Linked DNA regions of Elephas maximus indicus. Each later gene encodes a partner of the first gene's protein in a complex. Links are inferred from orthologs where the notes say so. Each region holds a gene or a part of one and is shown in the gene's direction. Other genes may lie near its edges.

Region 1 (7,076 bases):
CATGATGGCTTTCTTCAGGGACTCGTCCCTCTTGATAATATGTCCAAAGTATGTGAGACAACGTGTTGCCATCTTTGTTTCTAAGGAACATTCTGGCTGTACTTCTTCCAATACAGATTTGTTCATTCTTCCTGCAGTCCATAGTATATTCAATATTCTTTGCCAATACCATAATTCAAAGGTATCAATTCTTCTTTGGTCCTCCTTATTCATTGTCTAGCTTTCACATGCATATGAGGTGATTTAAAATACTGTTGCTTGGTCAGGCACACCTTAGTACTCAAAGTGATGTCTTTGCTTTTTTATCACTTAAAATAGGTCTTTTGCAGTAGATTTTCCCAGTGCAATATGTTGTTTGATTTCTTGACTGCTGCTTCCGTTGGTGTTGCTTGTGAACCCGAGTAAAATGAAAACCTTGACAGGTTCAATGTGTTCGCCATTTCTCATGATGTTGCTTATTGGTCCAGTTGAGAGGATTCTTGTTTTCTTTATGTTGAGGTGTAATCCATAGCGAAGGCTGCGATCTTTTATCTTCATTGGTAAGTGCTTCATGTCCTCCTTTCAACAAACAAGGTTGTGTCATCTGCATATTGCAGGTTGTTAATGAGTCTTCCTCCAATCTTTATGCTGTGTTCTTCTTCATATAGTCCAGCTTCTATGATTATATGCTCAGCATATTTATTGAATAAGTATGATGAAAGGAGATAACCCTGACTCACACCTTTCCTGATTTTAAACCAGGCGGTATCCCCTTGTTCTGTTCAAATAACTGCCTCTTGGTCTGTTCCTCATGAACACAATTAAGTGGTCTGAAATTTCCATTCTTGCCAACGTTTCCATAATTTTTTATGAATGACGAGTGCTTTTGCATAGTCAATAAAACACAGGTGAACATCTCTCTGGTATTCTCTGCTTTCAGCCAAGATCCATCTGACATCAGCAATGATATCACCCTTCCACGTCCTCTTCTCAATCTGGCTTGAATTTCTGGCAGTTCCCTGTTGAGGTATTGCTACAAGAGCTTTTGAATGATCTTCAGCAAAATTTAACTTGCGTGTGATATTAACAATATTGTTCTAAAATTACGTTTGACACCTTTCTTTGGAATGGACACAAATATGGATCTCTTCCAGTTGATTGGCCAGGTAGTTATCTTCCAAATTTCTTGGCATAGATGAGTGAGCACCTCCAGCACTGTATTCATTTGTTGCTACATCTCAGTTGGTATTCTGTCAATTCTTGGAACCTTGTTTTCCGCCAGTGCTTTCAGTGCAGCTGGGACTTCTTGCTCCAGCACCCTCAGGTCTTGATCGTATGCTACCTCCTGAAATGGTTGAACATCGATCAATACTTTTTGGTACGGTGACCCTGTGTATTCCTTCCATCCTTTCAGGTTCTTTTGATTCTTCCTGCATCATTCACTTTCAAACTGCTTATGTCCTTGGATTGTGGCTCTTGTAAACAACATACCTTTTTTTTTTTTAAATCCACTCAGCCACTGTCAACCTTTTGATTAGAGCATTTAGACCATTTGCATTCACTGTAATTGTTGATGAGAGGTAACTTACGTCGTTTTGTTTTTTTGTTTTCTGAATGTCTTAAGCCTTCTTTGTCTTTGTCCTTTAGTGCTTGCTTTTTGTGTTTTGTTGGTTTATTGTAGTGAGTCTATTTGTTTCCCTTCTCCTTTCCTTTTGTGTATTTTTTTAAATATATTTTCTTACTGGTTACTCTGAATATTGTATATAAGAACTTGTATTTATAACATTCTAGGTAAGTTGGTGCCATCTTAAATAATATACAGGAAATTCTATATCTATACCAATCCTCTCCTCCCCTTTTGTTGTTTTTATCACTAATTGTTTATATTTCATTTGCCCTGTAAAACAGACCAAATTTTAATTGCCCTTATTTTTGGAGCCCTAGTGGCACAGCGATTAAGTGTCATGGCTGTTAACCAAAAGGTCCACAATTCAAATCCATCAGTTGCTTCTTGAAAGCCCTATGAGGCCATTCTACTCTGTTCTATAGGGTCACTATGAGTTGAATCACTTGACAGCGATGGATTTGGTTTTTTGGCTTATTATTGTTTTAAATTCTTTATGGCTGATACTCTCTCTCATTGCCTCTACCCAGCATGGACCACTCCTACAGCCCACACTTTGCATACCACTGTGTTGTGCACTGAGTGAAATCCCTCAAATCTTTTCTAGAAAACTATGGGAGAAAGAAAGCAAAAAAGAGAATCCATATGGGAAGTTAAAGGACTAATATTTATGGAACACTGGCTAAGCGAAGGACAATTTATATGTAACATATCATGTAATTCTTATAAACCATTTTTATAGATGAAAGAACAATGTCCTTCAGAAATTAGATATATTTAACCTAAAGATGGCAACTTAGTCAAACACATTATGCCATCCCTGTACAGCAAAGACACGAGAAACCAAATAAAAAAGATGCAGATGACAATCCTTGAACCCTGAACATCAAAAAGAATGGTAAAGAATTCAAACAACATTTGGAAGAAGAACCAAGCCAGCAAACACGGAGTGATATGGAGTGAAGGTTCCCTGACATGGATGGAAATGGGGAGAGTGCTGACGTATTGTGGGGATTGCTACCAAATGTCAGGAACAATCTGTGTCTTATTTATTGAATGGGAAACTAATTTGCTGTGTAAACTTTCACCTAAAGCTAATAAAATGTTCCCAAAACAATTTTTGTATATTTGCTCAAAGCCATCCAGCTGACTTTGAGTCTGGCTGTAAGCCCCTTTCCCTCTGTTTTCAAGCTGAGGTTCCTTCCACTGCACCACACTATAGAGCAAACCCTTGGCTATATTAAGCCACAGGTTGACATGGGCCGATCAGTGCCCATCCAGATTTCTTTCCAATTCTGGTGCAAGGTTTTAGAGCCTCCAGGTTCCTGAAGTTTCCATCTTGTCTAGTCAATCTCAAGTAGGGTGAAGATAGTTGGTGGTGCTGATGGGATCATGCCTGCACACCCATAAATTCAGTCTCCTATTCCTTTGCATATTCCAGGTATGGTAGAGTTCATTTATCTTTAGTGAGGAAAAAGAAAGATAATTCTATCTTAAAAGAATTTTACTGTCTTTTATATTAATAGATTAATTTGACAAAAATGTTATCCCAGACTTACAATGTGAAAGCACTCGGCTGAGGGGAAAAAAAGAGAGAAAATGCTATTGATGGACAGGAGTAGATGGTTAGATATGTGACGGAAAAGGAGTATTTGAAATTATTCCCCTTCACAAATTTCAATCCATCTCCTCTTTGTCCTTTAGTAGGAGGAAAAGAAGATAAAAAGGTTTTTTTAAAGCAACAAAGAAGAGGAAGGTAGGAGGAACATTTCATTCTAATATGCAATTTGACAAGTTTTTATCAAGCAGTTACAAAGAGCATATCATTTATTCTGAAATGGACAATGAATGAAAACCAAAGACGAATCGGTGTGATTCTTCCTTCCTCTACAGACCCTCTTTTCCATGGCCCACTCCCTTCTCACGGTGTTCCTCCTCCAGGGCCAGTAAATCCATCTGGAAACTTGTAATAACTGCTTTAAACAAGGACTCAAAAAATGAAATACCTCTCCTAATATCCTCCTAGAGATAAGTTTCCATATTTAGACCACAATTATATTTGGAATTTCCTTCCGTTCAACTACTTTTTCCTAACCCACTTATATTTGAGCTTAAAATAAACTATTCCTAAAAAAAACCTGAACAGATTTAGAAAGGTCTGAACTTTTGACTTTTTACCAATAAACACATAAACATGAATGATCTAGTAGTTTCTTTTTCCACTTCATAAACACAGAAGCCACTTCCTAGAAATTAATCATTCTCTTGTGCATTTCGAAGTTCAAGGGAAATTACTGATAGAGTCTGTATCATCTTCCTGTTGAATTCTGGTGACCCTTTCCGGTTTCATTCAGATAAAAAAAAAAAAAAAAGAAAGAGCACACACACACCTTAGTCACCAAACACACATGATGATATAAGCCTTGTCGCCCTATATAAGTCCAGCCACTAGCAGGTAGAGAGAGAAGCCAGTAGTCACAGAAGGTGTTTTCCTTTGGTGAAAATGGTGAGAATGAGGCACCTTGTCGTCCTTGTGCTGTTATGTCTGCCAATTTGCTTGGCCTATCCACTGGCTGGGGCAGTGAAGGAGGATTCAAACATGGATCTCGTCCAGGTAATTAATGGTGGGGGCCATGACGCCCCTGGTCAGTCCAAGTGGAGAGACAAGTGTGTTTGTTTCAGCTTGATAATCAGAGGAGGAGGGGATTACAGCCAGACTCAAAGTCAGCTGTAAGCAGAATGATTCGATTGGGGGTTATTATGTTGGGATAACTTAGGATCAGGGAGATTAAAGTGCTAGAAGTGGAAGTCCCTTCATTTTAACAGAAAATGAAAAAGAGGCCCAGGAAGAAGAGATAATTACTTAAGGTCACACAATAAAATATTACAGGCAGCTTCAGGACTAAGTGAAGAGAATAAATGGAAAGCTTCTGAAAAACTGATTTTAGAATTTCCTTAGTTAAAATAATAGCAGGGTGGGGAGAACATGTGAATTTTAGTCTTGCAATGATACCAAGTAATAATGTTTATATCGTTGGTTGTCATGTTTGGACACAAGAATTTGTCCCATTTAGTCTTGACCAGGTTTATATTAACAACGTAAAGTGGAAAAAGTTAGACATGCTCAAAGTATGCATACAATTATGTTTCTCTTTTTTAAACAGGTTGGATCTAAATTCTCAACTTCAAATTCTTTACTTGGCTAGCAGATTAAATTGCAATGAAATTTAAAACTTAGTACAAAGATAAAATAATGAAATCAGGAGTCTTCATGAAAAATCAAATTAAGTGTGCTGTTTGCTTTGGTTTCAATAAACTAGAGAATAATTAAATTGTGACATTCAGGCAACTGTAAAAATTACCTAAAATCTATGCTTATTTTTTCATAAGCAATATCTAGAAAAATACTATGACCTTGCAAAAGATGTGAAACAGTTTGTAAGAAGAAAGGACAGCAGCCCTATGGTTAGAAAAATTCAAGAAATGCAGAAGTTCCTTGGGTTGGAGGTGACGGGGAAGCTGGACTCCAACACCCTGGAGGTGATGCGCAAGCCCAGATGTGGAGTCCCCGATGTCGGTCAATTCACTACCTTTCCTAGCTCACCAAAGTGGAGGAAGACTCACCTTACTTACAGGTAATTTTTACTTATAGGTTTTCACATAAGATTATAAGATTATACTCTGTAAATTACTGTCACAGGAGAAAATGTTACCTTCTATTTTTCTTTTACAGGATTGTGAATTATACACTGGATCTGCCAAGAGATGCTGTTGATGCCGCCATTGAGAAAGCTCTGAAAGTCTGGGAGGAGGTGACTCCTCTCACATTCTCCAGGAATAATGGAGAGGCTGACATAATGATCTCCTTTGCTGTCAGAGGTAAATAATAATTATTTTTAAAAACATGAAATATATCCATGTATCAGGTTTTTTTTTGGAAAAATTAAAAAGAAATCCTAATTATTCATCTCTCCAATAAAAAAATCATTTTCCCTGTTAGAACATGGGGACTTTTTCCCTTTTGATGGACCTGGAGCCACTGTGGCTCACGCCTATGCACCTGGGCCAGGGATAAATGGAGATGTTCACTTCGATGATGATGAACGATGGACAGAGGATAAAACAGGTGGGTCATAACTCTCTCAAAATGATTTCAGAAATAATGCCCATCTCTATCCAAGATAGATGTATACCTGTGTTTTATTGACTACGCAAAGGCATTTGACTGTGTGAATCATAACAAATTATGGATAACATTGCAAAGAAAGGGAATTCCAGAACACTTAATCGTGCTCATGAGGAACCTGCACATAGGCCAAGAGGCAGCCATCAGAACAGGTTAAGGGGATACTGTGTGGTTTAAAATCAGGAAGGGCATGCATCAGGGGTGTATCCTTTCACTGTACTTATTTAATCTGTATGCTGAGCAAATAACCCAAAAAACTTCATGAAGAAGAACATGGCATCAGGATTTGAGGAAGACTCATTAAAAACTTTCAACATGCAGATGACAAATTTTGCTTGTGGAAAGGGAAAAGGGCTCAAAGCACTTACCAATGAAGAGCAAAGACTTCAGCCTTCAGTATGGATTATACCTCAATATAAAGAAGACAAAAATCCTCACAACCGTAATAAGCTCCATCATGATAACTGGAGGAAATATTGAAGTGGCTAAGGTTTTATACTTTACTTGGATCCACAATGAACACCATGGAAGCAACAGTCAAGAAATCAAGCAACATATTGCATTGGGCAAATCTGCTGCAAAAGATCTCTTGAAAGTGTTGAAAAGCAAAAACATCCCTTTGAGGACTATGGTGTGCCCGATCCAAGCCATGGTATTTTCAATTGCCTCATATGCATACAAAAGCAGGACAACGATTAAGGAAGACTGAGTAAGAATTGATGCCTTTCAAGTATGGTGTTGGCAAAGAATACTGAATATACCATGGCCTGCCAGAAGAATGAAAAAGTCAGTCTTGGAAGAAGTACAGCTAGAGTGCTCCTTGGCAGTAAAGTTGGTGAGACTTTGTCTCAAGTACTTTGGACATGTTATCAGGAGGGACCAGTCAGTCCCTGGAGAAGGACATCATGCTTGGTAATGTAGAGGGTCAGTGAAAGAGAGGAAGACCCTCAACGAGATGAACTGGCACAGTGGCTGCAACGATGGGCTCAGGTGTAGCAAAGATTGTAAGGATTGTACAGGACTGGACAGTGTTTCATTCTGTTGTACATAGTGTCTATGAGTTGGAACTGACTCAACAGCACCTAACACCTATCCCAGAAGAATTTGTTTATCCAGATAGAGCAGTAAATGGAACATCCTAAGTAACTAAAATTTCTAATTAGCTGAGTGGTAACGAGAAGCACTCTTTGTCCTAATCCTTATTGAAGAACTTCATAAAATGTCTGCATTTCTTTCGTGCCCCACCAGGCACACTATAATAAGCACCATTCAATTTTACAATAACTA
Region 2 (7,058 bases), on another chromosome or scaffold:
CAAGTATTTCATGGGCCCTTACTATGTTCTAAGGTCCTTAGGTGGGGTAAACCATTTACGCTAGGTTACTAACCGAAAGGTTGGTGGTTTGAACCCATCCAGCAGCACTGAGGAAGAAAGGCCTGGTGACCTGCTTCTGTAAAGATTACAACCGAGAAAGCTCAATGGAGCAGTTCAACTTTGAAACACACGGAGCTGCCATGAGCTGGAGTCAGCTCTATGGCAACGTGTTTAGTTTTTGGTTTTTTACTATGTTCTAGGAGTCCCTGAGTGGTATAAACAGTTAATATGCTCAGCTGCTAAGCCAAAGGTTGGAGATTTGAGTCCACCCAAAAGTGCCTCGGAAGAAAGGCCTGGCAATCTACTTCTGAAAAATCAGTCACTGAAAACTCCATTGTCATGGATTGAATCGTGTCCCCAAAATATGTGTCAACTTGGTTAGGCCGTGATTCCCAGTATCGTGATTGTCCTCCTTTCTGTGATTTTTTTTTTTTTTTTTATTGTGCTTTAAGTCCTTTTGTGATTTTCTTATGTGTTATAAATCATACTCTCTGCCTGTGGTTAAGGAGGATTAGGGTGGGATGGAACACTCTTGCTCAGGTCACATCCCTGATCCAGTGTAAAGGGGGTTTCCCTGGGGTGTGCCCTGCACCACCTTTTATGTTACAAGAGATGAAAACAAAAGGAAGCAAGCAGATAGTGGGGGACCTCATACCACCAAGAAAGAAGCACCGGAAGCAGAGCAAGTCTTTTGGACCTGGGGTTCCTGCGTGGAGAAGTTCCTAAAACAGGGGAAGATTGATGACAAGGACCTTCCTCCAGATGTGACAGAGAGAGAAAGCCTTCCCTTGGAGCCCACGCCCTGAACTTGGACTTGTAGCCTACTAGACTGTGGGAGAATCAATTTCTGCTTGTTGAAGCCATCCACTTGTGGTATTTCTGTTATAGCGGCAGCAGGTGACTAGGACATCTGTGGAACACAGTTCTCTGACACACATGGGGTCACCATGAGTCGGGGGTCAACTTGACAGCAACTTTTTTTTTTTTTTATCCTTTAGGCCTGGGGATACAAAAAAAAAAAAAAACGAAACCAACAGTAATTTTCTCTCACTCCCCTCCCACCCCCCAGAACTTATATGCTAGTGGTGGTGGTGGTGGGATGGGGAATAGACAACAAATAAAATAAAAAGTCAAATACAGGGCCTAGTAGGTGGTGATGGAAACGCCGGGCAGTAAAAAGGGTGGAATGCGAGGACAAGGTGGGTAGTAATTTGAATAAGGTTGGTCAGGAAAGGCCCTGCTGCAGGTGACCTCCTAGCAAAGGGGTGATGAGGAAGTAGCCACGGAGGCTTCGCTGGGCGCTGTCCTGACTTGGTTTCATTCCGAAAGACATGGGAGTCACCACTGGGCTTTGAGGGGAGGGGAGACATTTTCAAAGCCCCCCACGCCCTGGGGCACTCTGTTGAGAATTGACTATAGGGCCAAGGTGGAACCCGGGGCCAGCAGAGGAGGTGTGATAGCAGGAAGTGGGGAGAAGGGAGGGATTGCAGAGGTGTGGCCGGCAGATGAAGGGTGGGGAGCAAGAGAGGAGCTAGAGGAGCCCCTGGCTCCTACGAGGGCACCTAGGCAATGGAGGTACCGTGCCTGGGTTCCTGAGCCAGGGAGGCGCAGCAGTGGGTTTGGTGAAAAGAACACGAGGTAGGGTTGGACACGTGAGATGCAGAAATAAATGTGGCCCAGGAACCCAGAGTGGGCACTCAGCTCTGGCCACACTGGGGAGACCAGAAGGAGCCGCAAAGGAGGCTGGGGAGGGGTGTGGGCAGCCAGGTGTGCTGGCAGAGGACGAAGTCCTGAAAGCATGGGAGGGCAGGTCTAGGAGGATGGCGTGATCCGCCTCGCCAAGTGCTGTTGGTACATCAAGTACCGTGTACCCTCAGGTGGGATTCTGGTACCCATGACCTCCGCGGAGAGCAATTTGGAGCCAGAATGGAGTGGGATTGAGAGAAGGGAGGAGAACTGGAAACTTCGAGTCTAGCCGCTTATCTGCAAGAGATTTATGCAGAGGGACGCTGAAAAACGGGGCGCTCTGGCGGGGGCAGTTAGCAGTGGGGTCCAAAGATGTTTGTTTAGCTCTTGCCGGGAGATACTCCAGCCTGTTTGTGTGCTGGTGGGATGGTTCGGTGGGAGGGACACCCTGAGGCAGGTGGGTAGCTGTGGGGCTGGGGGACCTGGTCTCCATGGAGAGGTCAGCCCCAACCAAGCAGCCACCCAGGCCCTTCAGTGCCTCTGCTGTGCAGGCCGAGAGGCCCCACTCCTGTTTTGCACCATCCAGCCTGCCTCTAAGGTGCTGACCACGCTAACACAGACTTGATCACTTGCATTTACATCTTGGCTAAAAGCCTGGGAACTCCTTAAGTTATCTGCTTCTCTTATAGGCTGACCAATTGATTCTAGATTCCGTAAAGCTCTCCAGCATTTCTTCCACTTAGAACGCAAAAGAAAAGAGGGAAGGAAGAAATAGAGCGCTTATGAGCAGCCGAAGTGTAATAATTTTCTGAATTACCTCTAGAAATTTAGCATCAAATATTTTGTGAACGATGCAGCTATATTTTATGCTAACAGAAGCTGAAAAAGTGACTTTGGATTTGTAAGGGTGCTAAAAAACAACTACCCTGCATACTAACTTTTCTCCAAATTGCCTGTTTGAAAGCACACACAATCAAAAAGGCAACATTTTTCCATTCTTCCAATATTTCCCTAGGTTCCATGTCTCCAGTCAGCACCACTCAATTGCGCAGGCCCTTACTGTTTAATTGGGTCGTTTTCTGGGTTGACGTCTCCTTTGCCAGATTACAAACGTCCTGAGGGCAGGAAAGACATCCTGTAGAACAGCTCAGCACCCTCTGCACACAGTGGGGTGCACAGAGGGGGTGCAGAGGCTGGTCACAGAAGGGGTATACAGAGGGGGTGCACAGAGGTGGGTCACAGAGAGGGGCAGACGGGGGTGCACAGAGAGGGTGTCAGAGGGGGTGCATAGATGGGGTGCAGAGATGAGTGCACAGAGAGGGTATACAGAGGGGGCACAGAGGTGACTGCACAGAGGGGGTGCAGAGGGGGGTGCAAAGTGGAGGTGCAGAGAGGTGTGCACAGAGGGGGTACAGGGCAGGTTCAGTGGCAGATAGACAGGGACCCTGTCCCCATTGTCTACACAGCCATCCACACTTGACATGTTGTCCACACCTTCGAGTTCCTCGCCTTTCCTAGAACTTAGAACTGTTCTGGGAAAAGTTCTTTTCAGTTCCAAAATATGTGGGTTAAGGGAGGGAGCCATGAGCAGAGCAGCAGCTGCCTTCCAGGCGATCCTACTGGCTCCTGGGCTCCTGAGCCCACCCCCTGCCCTTGTTGGCTGGTCAAAAATATGGCCAGTTTATGTAAAATCCTGTTTTGTTCACAGTAACCACTCCCCCCTCGCCCAACTAAACTAGCCAAGCACAGTTAAAATTCTGAAGCCTCCATTGGAAAAAGGAGCCCTAGTACGTTTCTCCAAGGCCACCCACCCACAGAGGGTACAGGAGGGGCGGCAGGGATGACCCCTATTCCAAAGGGCATGTCCCCTTTGCTCCATTTGGTGGCTCCAAATGTCCAAGGGGTCCCAAAGGTGGCTGGGGTCAGGCAGTGGATCCTGGCACCAAGCTGGAGGGGAGGGGTGGTCGGTGGGCTGCCTGGTGCCCTTGAGCCACCGACCTTGGAGCCCTAAGTGCTGAGTCAGGCCCCCCGGGCGCTGCCCGCCACCGAGGAGGCCACCCCAACCTCAGGCGATTTGGGGGGCTGCCCCGGGGAGGAGCGGCCCCCCGCAGTGGGAAGCTAGGTGGGCAGCGGGCTGGCCCAGGCCGGGGCTGCGGCCAGTGGCGCAGGAGGGCCCAGAGGTGCCAGGCTGAGCGCAACAAAAGCCGGGGTTTTGGTGAGGGCCGGGCGGCGCGGAGGAGGGGGCTGCTGGGAGCCCGCGCTGCACTGGCCGCCAGCCACCGGGAGGAGGAGCAGAGGCTCCTCGAGCTCAGTAAAACGCCCGCGCGACCGAGCCCGCACCACACGGTCGGTGGAAGGCAGAGCGAGCCGAGCCGGAGCCAGGCTGCGGCGCCCGCCCGCTCTCTCCTCCGCGCGGGAAAGCGCCCGGCCGGCCCAGCCGCGCCCGGACAAAGCGCATAAAGTTTGCGCGGCGCGGGGCCCGGTGCGGAGGGTGCGCCGCCCGTGGGCCCAGTGCCCGGCCGCGCGAGCCTACCCCGGCTCGGCCCGCGCCCCGAGGACGCCCAGAGGCGGCGCAGCGCAGCCCGGCCGAGCCGCGCAAGCAGCCGGCCCGCCATGGGCGCCGCGGCCCGCAGTCTGCGCCTGGCGCTCGGCCTCCTGCTACTGGTGGCGCCGCTCCGCCCGGCCGACGCCTGCAGCTGCTCCCCGGTGCACCCGCAACAGGCGTTTTGCAATGCAGATGTAGGTAAGGAGCAGCATTCGCGGCCCCGCGCGGCCCCACCGCCCCCTTGGGGACCCCGCGCCCTCCCCCAGGGCCCTCGCCTCCTCTGGAATCCTGCAAGTTGACGCCAAACCCTACTTTCTTTTTCCCTTTCCTTCGTGCCCTTTCTTTCCCTTGCTTCGCCGAGACGTTTCTCGACCTCAAAATTCCACCGAAATCCCAGCGGGGCTCCAACCCGGGATCAGGGAGCCAGGGAACGATCGGGCTTTGGCAGGCGGCGCGCCCTCGGATGCCAGTGCTGGGGCGGGGAAGGGGGGCACAGCGCTGGGTGGGGGTGGGGGGATCCACCTCGGTGGGCTGGAGGGGTGGGCACCCTCAGAAAAACTTTCCAGGTGAGGTGGAATTGGGCTCCCCTGGGCTTGGGGCTGGGCGAGGAAGGACATCTGGCCTGGCCTTCGCCCAACAGCCCATTTGGGGTTGGCCTGATTAAGGGGGTTGAGGGATGGAAGCCCCCCTACTGGGGCAGGTTGCTGGAACCCAGAGAGGCCATGGAGACCCTCAGTAGGGCCCCGTGGGCTGGCTTTTTGCCCTGTACGGGGCTCCACAAACAGGCCTGGGCAGGGAGGGGGACCCCCTGGCGCTTTACCCCTTGTGACTGTTTTTTCAGGACATCTATCCAAACGGAAGACTTAGGTCACTGCAGGGGTGGGTGGGGCTGGTTTGGCTGCTTTAACTCCCCAGCAAATATCTTGCCCTCAGGGCTCCTTGTCCCCAGGCGATGGGAGGGAGGAAGAGACACAAAGCTGGGCAGTGCAGGTTCCAGCTCTGATGCTCACAGGCCTCTCTGGCCTTGGGGCTGTTAGCCAAGGGGGTATTTTTTTCCTGGGCCATTCAGTTTAACCAAAACAACAAATACCCAGCAGATGGACCTCTGCAGCCCCTCAGCCTTCCCCATGGGGTTATTTTTGCTCCTCAGCCTCACCAAGCCCAGCATCCTGACACAAGGCCAGGTGCTTGGGGCAGGCCCCTCATGGCCAGACTCAAGCGAGCCTCTCCCTGTTGCCCCTGTGTTCAGCAATGCTCCCCATCCTCAGACCCCACCCGGCTCCTGGTTGCACCCGGTTGCCCTTGGGCTGCCCTGCTGCCCAGGTGGGAAGTTTTCAGTGCTCCTACCCGTGGGAAGGTATGGCCCAGGGCACCTGGGCTTGGGTGTGTGAGTGGCTGGAGAGGAGTTTCCAGAAAATCCGACTTAGGGGCAGTGAGGGCTTTGGTGCTCAGCAAGATATGGTGAAGCACGAGAGAATCTTCTCATTGGGAAACCAGGTGGGCTTCCTGCAGGGAAAGAGAGGGAGTACCTCCTTCCCACCCACCCTGCAGAGCAGCCAGGCAGGCAGGGGTAGGCTCAGGAGGACCCACACGGCTCCTTAGTCTCAAGGGCTCATTCTCAGGCACCCACTGGGAAGGAGCTGGACCACGGCCGCACCCATCATCCTGGCTCCCTGCCCCTTCCCACTGACCGCCTAGTTGTAAGGTGGCTGCAGGTGAGGCTGGTGGCTGTTTCTGCTTTGGGTTGGCATCAAAGACTTCAAAGATCAGGGAGCTTCAATATGCCCTGAGGCAACTTCTCATTTTCTGAATGTCTCCCATCTGCCTGGATTTCCTGGCATTTGCGTCTCAGGCATTGCAGGGAAGTCATCGAATAGCCCAAGTTTTTAACCCCACCTCAGCTCGTAGGTCCAGGCAGGGCTCAGAGCCACACGCCACAGCCCGAGTTGCCCCCCTTGCACCACATTTCCTTCACCCGCGGACGGCTTGGGGTACAGAGCAGGGCACCCCCTCAAAAAACCAGCCGCCGTTGAGTTGATTCTGACTCACAGTGACCCCTCGTGTGTCGGAGTAAAACCATGGGATTTTCAGTGGCTGATTTTTCAGGAGTAGATTGCCAGGCCTTCCAAGACGCCTCTGGGTGGACTCAAACCTCCAGCCTTTCAGTTAGCAGCCTAGGGCATTAATGATTTGCACCACCCAGGGACTCTGAGGACATCGCAGATTAAGGTTATTACGAGCCAGGCCCCTGAGGGGCTCTCAGATAAAGCCAACAGTGAAATAATGGTTCCCCACCTTGGCTGAGAGCCGGATTGCCCGGGGGGCTTTTAAAACCTGCACAGGCCTGGGTCCCTCTGTATAAGATGCCAGTACAGAAGGTCTGGCCCAGGACCTAGGCTTTTGTGCTTTTAAAAGCCCCCACGCCCCCAGGTGTTTCAGTGCAGCCAGAGGCCTGGGAGAAGGGCGGTGGCCTGGCACCTGTGTCGGGTTAATAAGAGGCTGACTTTTCTCTGGCATGCTTGCTCCTTTTATTGTTGGTAGATGCAGACTTTGTAATGGTCTGCTGTCTGCAAGAGACAATTGACTTAAGATACTCAGATTTCTCTTTAATGAAACAATCCTGCCCATGGGAAGATTCCTGGGAGCTCTCTCCTGGGCTCTTGCTGATGGTAAGATTGGAACCGTGGTCAGCAAAAAGGTTCGTTATGAGGTTATAAACATAGTGTGGAGGTGATCTGGTCTCCCCGAAGGCCCCAGCTCCCTGACC

What was found. Proteins that work in one complex are often made in the same cells at the same time.
Region 2: the proteins of MMP10 (region 1) and TIMP2 are in contact, whole or in part, in a crystal structure (PDB 4ILW), measured with the Homo sapiens proteins. The link is inferred for Elephas maximus indicus from reciprocal best matches to the Homo sapiens genes MMP10 and TIMP2. Residues at the interface, in NP_002416.1 of Homo sapiens: Glu155, Asp169, Phe170, Tyr171, Ser172, Pro176, Gly177, His178, Ser179, Leu180, Ala181, His182, Ala183, Tyr184, Pro185, Pro188, Gly189, Leu190, Tyr191, Val214, His217, Glu218, His221, His227, Pro237, Leu238, Tyr239, Phe242; in NP_003246.1 of Homo sapiens: Cys27, Ser28, Cys29, Ser30, Pro31, Val32, Gln36, Ala37, Asn40, Ser57, Gly58, Asn59, Asp60, Tyr62, Asn64, Pro65, Ile66, Lys67, Arg68, Thr91, Ala92, Pro93, Ser94, Ser95, Ala96, Val97, Cys98, His123, Leu126, Cys127.

Annotation. Positions count from the first base shown.
Region 1 is NC_064825.1:17,872,763-17,879,838, forward strand, and holds the start of MMP10 (stromelysin-2), read left to right. Parts: upstream 1-4,070; 5' UTR 4,071-4,106; coding exon 4,107-4,217; intron 4,218-4,993; coding exon 4,994-5,238; intron 5,239-5,336; coding exon 5,337-5,482; intron 5,483-5,603; coding exon 5,604-5,729; intron 5,730-7,076. UniProt on the Homo sapiens protein: Can degrade fibronectin, gelatins of type I, III, IV, and V; weakly collagens III, IV, and V. Activates procollagenase.
Region 2 is NC_064837.1:68,805,124-68,812,181, reverse strand, and holds the start of TIMP2 (metalloproteinase inhibitor 2), read left to right. Parts: upstream 1-4,055; 5' UTR 4,056-4,359; coding exon 4,360-4,489; intron 4,490-7,058. UniProt on the Homo sapiens protein: Complexes with metalloproteinases (such as collagenases) and irreversibly inactivates them by binding to their catalytic zinc cofactor. Known to act on MMP-1, MMP-2, MMP-3, MMP-7, MMP-8, MMP-9, MMP-10, MMP-13, MMP-14, MMP-15, MMP-16 and MMP-19.